Linked DNA regions of Caenorhabditis elegans. The protein of the gene in region 2 interacts with the protein of the main gene of each other region in a pairwise test. Each region holds a gene or a part of one and is shown on either strand. Other genes may lie near its edges.

The links. The genes of interacting proteins can lie anywhere in the genome.
Region 1: the proteins of C18E9.8 (region 2) and Y105C5B.19 interact in a two-hybrid assay, tested with the Caenorhabditis elegans proteins (one large-scale study listed by BioGRID).

Annotation. Positions count from the first base shown.
Region 1 is NC_003282.8:15,981,048-15,985,555, forward strand, and holds Y105C5B.19 (Major sperm protein), read right to left. Parts: upstream 2,924-4,508; coding exon 2,261-2,923; intron 1,713-2,260; coding exon 1,575-1,712; intron 1,527-1,574; coding exon 1,293-1,526; intron 1,231-1,292; coding exon 1,134-1,230; exon of another isoform or gene 1,130-1,133; intron 1,045-1,129; coding exon 954-1,044; intron 909-953; coding exon 801-908; intron 755-800; coding exon 631-754; 3' UTR 528-630; downstream 1-527.
Region 2 is NC_003280.10:8,985,367-8,989,632, forward strand, and holds C18E9.8 (DUF7754 domain-containing protein), read right to left. Parts: upstream 2,697-4,266; 5' UTR 2,656-2,696; coding exon 2,182-2,655; intron 2,124-2,181; coding exon 1,791-2,123; intron 1,746-1,790; coding exon 1,491-1,745; intron 1,446-1,490; coding exon 1,030-1,445; intron 983-1,029; coding exon 848-982; intron 802-847; coding exon 654-801; 3' UTR 534-653; downstream 1-533. Other genes in the region: C18E9.9 (MARVEL domain-containing protein), read right to left, coding at 3,141-3,296, 3,349-3,453, 3,954-4,172.

The sequences.
Region 1 (4,508 bases), on a different chromosome or scaffold from region 2:
CATTTACTATATGTTCAAACTTTTTTTCCAACTATAAAAGTGAAAAGAGCTATAAAAAATGCTAAAGTACTTAAGGGCACTGAAATCTTTTTAAAGTTGGAGTTGAACATCATCTGAGCCGATGATCTCTGAGATCAATAAATTTAATTCATGTTGATGCTAACAGTTCCAATAAATGAACACCATGAAACAATTTTTATAGATTTTGTGCTCAAATTTGAAGTGAGCAACAGTTTTCTGCGCAGTAAAATTTTCACTGTTGACCCAAAACTATTTTTTAAACAGTTATTATTGATTCTTTTTAATTTATATTTAAGTAATATGCGACTCTACAAATTGTGGCTGGAAATATAGTAGAAAATCTCGAACAGAGCCAAAAATTGCACGGGACTGCAATTTCACAACAAAAACTTTTTACTATGGGACTAACATTTCATTTTAATTTTAGCTCATGTTTCACAACACATTGAAACAGTAAAAATTTGAAATTTTCAAATTATTGAAACCTTGAGAACTATGAGAGGAGCGCTGGAAAAACTTTTATATAGACAGCTGAAATGTTTTTTTTTCAGAATTGAAATACATAAGTTAATAGAAAAGTCAACAAAATATAACAATTTCAAAAACAAATTATTCCATTTCCACTTCCTCTTCGTCATTGAAAATTTCTGATTTTATACTTCCTTCTGGGTTTTCTTCGTTTACCTGATAGTTACACATCATTTCTGAGCCATTTGGGAAAATTAGTCGGGATCTGAAAAAAATTATCGATTTTTATAAAACTCAATGAAATCACAAACTCTTTGAGCTCTCCATCCTCCTTGCGGAGTTGCTCTCGGAGCCATCTTGTGGCATCTTCACTTGCTTCGTTTCCATACATTTTGTTGTGGCGGCCTCTCACACGGTCTCTGAAAAATAAATTTAGTACTGAGCCCTGAGACAGTAAAACTCACAACTTATTGCCCATAACGTCGGTGACCAGCTTCCTCACTCGAAACTTCAGGTCTCGCGATTGTTCTTCGCCGAACCCACCGAGTATGTACTCTGGAAGAGGAACATGGTTTTTTTAATATTAAATTTCCTACTGTTTCAAAGAATTTATAAATTTTTGGTGAAACGTGTGGAAAACTAACCAGCAAACCCTTCGAAAAAGTCCCTAGCGATGGGAATATATGTAGAAGCGTTTTGTGAAGTTGCGTAGCACATCATATGGGGGTCCGCAATGGCAACCTTAAATTTTTGGAGTTTACGCAAGATTCTATAAAGTCTACGCAAGACTCCACTAAGCATACCTTATCGAAAACCGTTCTCGCCAGAGCTCTCACAAGAGTCACCAAGTTAGCCGTCGACCAATTCGACACATCTCCATCCGTCACAACATCGGAAATCATGAACCATTTCCTGCTGGGCAACGTCAAAGCTCTGTCAAACTTCTCGGCTGAGTCAATTGAGAATGCCTTGTTCGTTGTGATCGGTTCCGTGATTTTCTCCGCTTTTCGAGAAATCTTCCTGTGCTGCTTGTTTGCCTGAAAGCGAATTTTTTTTAATTTTCGAAACTTTTGGAAATTGCTCACCATCGCCGTAGTGAAAGCCATTCCAAGTGCCATTTCCTCCATCAAATTCTGATTTTGTGTTCGACACCGCTTGGCGAAATTGAGCCATTCGTAGTAGTCAACATCACGGTCATTTTTGATGAGTTTCTCCAGGTTTTTCTGAAAAATTTGAAGATTTATTTGGCAGGGCTAAGGTCTTGACTACAATGATGTACTGTAAGCAACTGACATCTTACGAGTTAGACTGCAAATTCCGTGGTGGGCCCGTAAAATGTCGGCTGCTAGCAACAGCAGTTTTAAAAGAGTCCACGGGTAATATTTTGTTCCTATAAACAAGCCGACATTTCACGAGTCTCAACATTCAATATTGTTCTAACTGGGCCATTGTGGTGTCGGCTGCTATCAAATTTCAAGCACTTGGATTTCAGCTCCCGACACTTTGCGAGTTTCTTTAACAATACTGTAAAGCACCGACTTCTGCTTCCGTTCGTTCGTTTTAATGTCGGCTGCTAGCAAAAGCAGTTTTAGAGGAGTTCGCGGTGAGATTTTGTTTCTACAAGCAAACCGACATTTCACAAGTCTCGCCATGCAAACTCGTTATTCTAACTAGGCCCGTGCAATGTTGGCTGCTATCAGATTTCAATCGTCTGAACTTCAGCGCCCGACACTATACGAGTTGCTCTAGAAATAATCCCCTCAAAACCTACCTCACAAGTCTTCCGATCCAATGGTTCCCCTTTCGCATAATCGTACAATTCGGAAGCAGCGAATCCAATCGGCAACCACATCCCATGCTTAGAGGCCTGAAGAAGGGGTGCCGAAGATGTTTGAGCAATTGGAGATGAGCTGTACTCTATCGGAAGGGTCTTACGACGAACCATCCCATCTCCATCCAACCAATCACGACAGAACTGCTTGGTGGATCCTTCAGACGTATTGGTCCATTCGACAGTGATACGGTCATTTGTGGTATCTACTTGTCCGAATGCAAAAGCATCGCAGGAAATTGTTAGAAGAATCTCCTCACTTGGATCGAGTACTCCACAATTTGGAGTGCACATCGTATCAACTCTGAGTCTTTTCATATATGTATTGATTCCATAAGCAATACGAAGAGCCGAAGTATTGATTAATTTGATTTTAGATTCTTGGTTTTCATTGTACGGAGCATTGAAGATGATTTTGCTCGGTTGGAAGTCAATTTCTCCTGGTGGAAGGGATTGAGCCATCACGGGGGAAAATTCTCGGGGTCTTTTAGGCTCAAAATCCTGGTAAACCTTATGTTCGACTGGAGCAACTAGAAGATCTTCCGGTTTTTGTTCGCATAGGAGTGGATACGGAGCAGGTCTTTTTGAAGCTCGGCGGGACATCTGAAAATTGAATTTTTTTTAGATTTTGAGCGTTCAAATAAAATTCAAAAAATCAATAGTGATAATCGACGTGGTGTCAGGTACACACATTCGGTTTGATCTACGAAAAATGCGGGAATATTTATTCATAAAAATTGTGACGTAAGCACGCTCTAAACCATGCAAAATCAGATGATATGTCTGCGTCGCTGCTCCCACATTTTTTGAAGGTCAAAGCAAAATGGGACTTTCTGACTAGCACTCGTTTTTTTTAAATTAAAAAAAAGATTTGAATTAAAAAACCGCGAATTTTCAAAATTAGTGAATAACAATATAAAATTCACGAGAAACAAGAAACAACACAAAATAAAAACCGATAAAATCGAAAACGTCACCGCACGGGAAGCATTGTTTGCGCGCAATGCCTCCCGCCGCGAGTTGAGAGACCGAATTAGTGTGAGAGACGCAGGTGGTGGTAAGAGAAATGACGAGAGACGCAGAGAAAAGGAACGTTTCAGGACAACGGACGTTGGTTTACGAGAGGGGGGTTTGGAGCGTTTTTAGTGTTTATTGATTGGTTTTGATTAGAATTTTGAATTTTTCGAGCGTTTGCCCCACAACAAAGAGATGGCAAATATTAAAAAAAAACTGTTAACTGTTAGAGAAAACATCTACTGTTTAAACAACTAAGCATAAAAGAAAAATTAAAATAAAAAATTAATTAATTGAAAATACTGTTTCAAGTTTGTATTTAATATTGATGTAACTTTTTTAAAATGCTGGGGAAAATAAAAATAATTTCACTTTTTCAACTGCAAATCATAGCTCCAAGAACAACTTGACATATTATTGGACTGATAATCTGTTGTTTCGGGAACATTTGTTAACGTTTATTTTTTCAAAGATAATTCCCTATAAATGATTTTTAATGAAAGAAAAACGCGGAAATCCTATAATTTGTTTTGCATTTCGAGAATTGAAATTACAGTTTCAAGTAGACTTAAAATTACTAGATAAATTTGATCATTCAATAATGCTTTTAAGTTTGTCGAAATTTCGAAGAAAAAAAATTTGTGAAACTGCTTAAATTTTCAGAAATTAATATTATAAAACTGACTAGTTTCATTATTGTTCGTGTATTGGAAATATTTGAAAATTAGCTTTTACTGCACTGATTTATATCTCATATAGGTGAGTGAAACTCGGTAGATGTCGGGCGCTCATATTTCGTTAGCGTTAGGCGTTCTTGAGAAACCCCACAAGTAATGTGGAATAATGTGTTGATTATCGGGTTTTTTTTTCACTGTTAAAACGACTGGAAAGGTCGAAGGATCTATCTACTAAAAATAGTTACTCAAGTTTTTCTTTTGAAAACCAGTTGAAACATCTCTGACAAAATTCAGATTTCTTTTCTCAAAAAAGTGATTTGAAATTTATAAAATAATTGATATTTCTAGAACACATTAAACAACTTTATGAAACTGTTTTTGGTGTAAAATCATTTTAAATGAAGGAAAAACGGAAAAATCATATAATTTTTTACGTTTCGAGAATTGAAATTACTGTTTCAAGTAAGAAATAAGATTTCAAGAAAAGTTTACTTATT
Region 2 (4,266 bases):
CCGAACTGGCAGAAAATTGAAATCACGGGATTGAACAATCAGTTTTGAAATTTTTTGGGAGGAAAATGAGTGCACACGAATCAAGAGAAAACTGGAAAACTTTCTAAAAAGTTGAAAAGATTAGGCTCCGAAAATTAAGCGAACGAAGAAACAAAAAAGAAACCAGTGACGAAAGACTTTGGCATGACTGTGAAAGGATCAGGCAGCTAGAGAGAAAGAGAGGTGGAATAGCAGAAAAGTGGCAAAATACGACGATTCCAGAGTTGGCGAGAAGCATGCTGATCGGCGGAGACGCACGCACATACCATCCGGTCATTGTTTGCATTTGCTCAACACGCCGCAATGTCCCTCAACGGGAGCCGCTACGGGAGAGTCCCTCCGGGCTACTGAGACTGTCTTCCGAGCAGCAGCAAGCAGCAGAAAAGAGCACAACTCAGGCGCTTTTGCGTATTTTCGGATTATCGACCCGAACGACACATGTGTTCGGAGCTTAATTCTGTAATTCTCTGCAAAAAGTGCACAAAGGGAGGTGTATGATCGAAGAAATGCTTTATAGAGAATGGTTGGAGAAGCATAGCATTACAAATCACAAGTCCGGAGCAAATAGAGAAAATAAAAAACATTAAAAATCATACAGGAAGTTACGAAAAATACTAGTCGACGACAATAAGCTCCGTTGGTTCTCCAAATGCGTGATCCGATGCCAGAGAGTTCAACGTGTCAACAGCTCGACCTTCTCCAACAACCACTGCTTTACCACGTTGCAAATTGACAGTACGGTGGTGGAAAGTTGTAGGAAATCTGTAGAAGTAAGTTGTTGAATGAATGAAAACTTAAACTAATAAACCTAGTAGAAAGCCGATTGACCATTGGATTCAGTCCCCATCCACTGCACATTCTGTCCATGATTCCTTCATGAGTACGATCCTTCAAGATTTTCAGTTTTCCATGTCTCTCCAAAACCTCGGCAAGTTCACGACAACTGAAATATGAAACATAGTGATTAATTGGAACTTTCTCGAAACAAACCTTGACTCGGCTCTTTGAATATTGACACGGAGCAAGTTTTTGAGATCAAACTTGTCTCCAAACATCAATTGCGACATGTACTCATCTGGTGTAATTGGTGGCTCAAATTCATTTTCCAAGTTTTCCTTGACAATATTCCATCCATGATCGAAAGCAAAAACAATGCAAGCACGAATCATATCCGGATGAGGAACTTCTCCCATTGGATGCATGTAGGTGAGAAGTTGAACAAGAACTTCGCCAGGGATCAAGTCTCCACGAGCACATTCGCGATGAAATTCTGCAGTGTAACGAGCAATGTATTCTCCATTTTGACCAATACAAAGCATTTCCTTTCCATGAGCGGCAAGTATCCCACTGTTGATGTAGAAGATGGTTCCACGGAATAGAATTGCAGACTTGGTAGTGTCACCCTCCTAAATAAACTACTTTATATTAAACTTTGTTCAACATTGGATTACCTCCAATTCAATAAATTTCAAATTGTTCTCGGGCTTCTTCAAAGTTGTCGCATCGGGCTTTGCATTTCTTGCCAGCAAGATAGCGGGGCACACAATTTTCGTGTAAACTTGACGACCACAGAAGTTCTCAGGTTCAAATCCTGATTGAATCATCTGGTTCCATGTTCCGTCCAAAGCTGCACGGAATGCAAGTTCACTGATAGCAGGCTCCAATCTATTCTCAATCGCTGCTTGAAAGCGTTGCAAGAATGTCATCTGAAAATAGTTCATTAGAAAATTTCAAATAAAAGAACTTCAAACCGGTCTGTAATTGTAGTCAATGAGATGTTTCGACAACTGATAAATCAAATTGTCACACTTGTAACCAACGGCTCCAGCTGTCAAACGACGGAATGATGCGAAAATTGGACGGCGAGTAGGATATGCTTGGTAAAGAAGTTCGAGGAATGCTTCCTTTTCAGAGCAAGTTGCTTTGATAGCTGGGCAATCCGTACGAGATGCGTACTCTTTTTCCGATTTTCCCAAATAATCCGACAATAGGGAGAGGATGTTTGAATGAACACGAATACGAGATCCATCGTCGAATTCAATCACTTCATCACCTTCCTCAAAAGTTGGGAGATCCAGGTACATCTGAAATAGTTTATAATTTACAGATCAATAGATTATAATCTCAAAAAAAAAAACTCACCAAATTCAACACTCTCATTTCAAATTTCAAAAATTTGACGTCACTATTCTGAATTTCCACGTTCAGAGGATATGAAAATGAATCAAATTTATAAACATCCTTATCAACAACATTCAAAATATTCGACTGACATCCAGTTTTGATTCTGAGTTGAACAAGAAGTTGCCATTCAGCAGGAGTTGTTGCTTGCACAGAAAGATATACACGACGAGTACCGTTTTCCATAACTTGCTTGACTCGAAACTGAAGTTTTTCGAAGATGAATGAGTCCTCTTCCTCTCCATTTGGTAGATTCTGATCATCAACGGCAATGAACACAATTGGATTCGGATTCTCCACTGTTTCCTCCACCTCTTCTTTTCCTCCAGCTTCTTCCCTCAACGCCTTCTGACTCTCCTTCAAAATTTCCAAATCCATTTCGTGAAAACTGATTGCAGTTTCAGCAGACAGAACTGACAGCTCCGATAGCGACATTGTTTTGATTTCGCTTCTACGTCTTGTAAATTTTGTGAAATAAATTTATTTTGTAGTTTTCTGGTTATTCGGTTGTTTTGTTGTGACGTGGTATTTGAAAAATGGAAGGCCACGGATGTCATTTTTTGAAAATTAATTTTGAAAAGAAACGCCAATTATTTTTTCATTTAGCCATTTTCAACTTCAACTGCGTCTCAACAAATGTCATTACACATTACCATACTTGCAAATCGGGAAATGAAGCTTTTGCAATGAGGGCGAGGACAGATGCGGGCTAGATGCACTCTTGTTTAAGCCTCGCCGTTATCCTCAGCTTCCAAAAATATTTTAACTAGTTAAAGGAAACACTTTATTTTGTTCAAAAATGTCAACATGTCAAATGTAGGAGAGCAAGAGAAAAGAGTGAGAAAGAAGGGGTTTTTGTGATGTCTCGTTAAAAAATAAATAAGAGCTATAAACCGTTAAAATTCGTTTTTGTTCAAAGCTTATGCAGGGTTGGCTCCGGCTGGATAGACTGTTGGTGGTGGTCCAGCAGTTGCTTGGTTTGAAGTGTGTGAAGAAGAAGTTCTTGAAGCAGACATTGAAGTCCAAGCCATGAGTGCTTGAAGACCATATGCTAGTACAAGAAGTACCGATACAATCTGAAAATATAATAATACTGATTCTTAAGTTTTAGTATCTTAAAAAACAAACAGTTGCCAAAAGGAACCAAAAATTGAAATGATAGAAGATATTGCAAAAATAGTAAATAGTGTTGAGAGCACTGCATACACAGAATGCTCCACTGTATGCGAGTTCCTGAAATAAATTATTTTAAAACTTTTTGCCTGCATTTTTATAACATTTTTCACATCAATGAAACATTTGATAGTAGAATCAGTATTATAGAAAAATTACGGTAGACAAGAAATCAGACAGGCAGGAATGAACTCGTCCTGATTATCATGTTAAAATAGTTGCAAATATTTTAAGAGACATTACTAATAGCCTAAATATATTCGAACCTATACATATTCTTAGCTGATGTGAATAGATATTGCCTATGGAGAGCGAGAGTTCAGCTTTTAGCAACATTTTGCAACATTTAGCAACATTTTGAGCACATTCTGAAGTCAAATCAAATAGTAGTACAAATCGATTTAATCAGCTTATTCTTTAATTTCCCGACTATCAATATAAACAATCGGCGACAACTCATTAAACACCTCTCAAATAAGTTGTAAAATTTCTGCCAAAAACGAGTGAAAATTTTACCAAGAAGTTACTGCATTCGCTATTGATTTAAAATTCTCACTCACAATAATCACAAACTGTCCCGATCTTGTAAAAGTTAAATCTAAGAAAACAACTGCAACAACTGCGATAGCCGCGAGAAATTCCAGAATCGATGTGAGGCAAATGAACCAAAACCATCCACGGACTCCTGGTGAAGCCATAAAGATAATTTGAAGAAGTGTGAGAAGCAGGAGTGCTGGTTTCAGCACTCCAGGCATTTCCATCATATCTTTGTAAGCCATTGTTTTCTGAAAAATCATAAAAGAGTTACTGAAAAAAAACAAGTAAAATATCAAAAGTTTCAAAAATCAATAGGGAACCAATGGAAATGAGGTA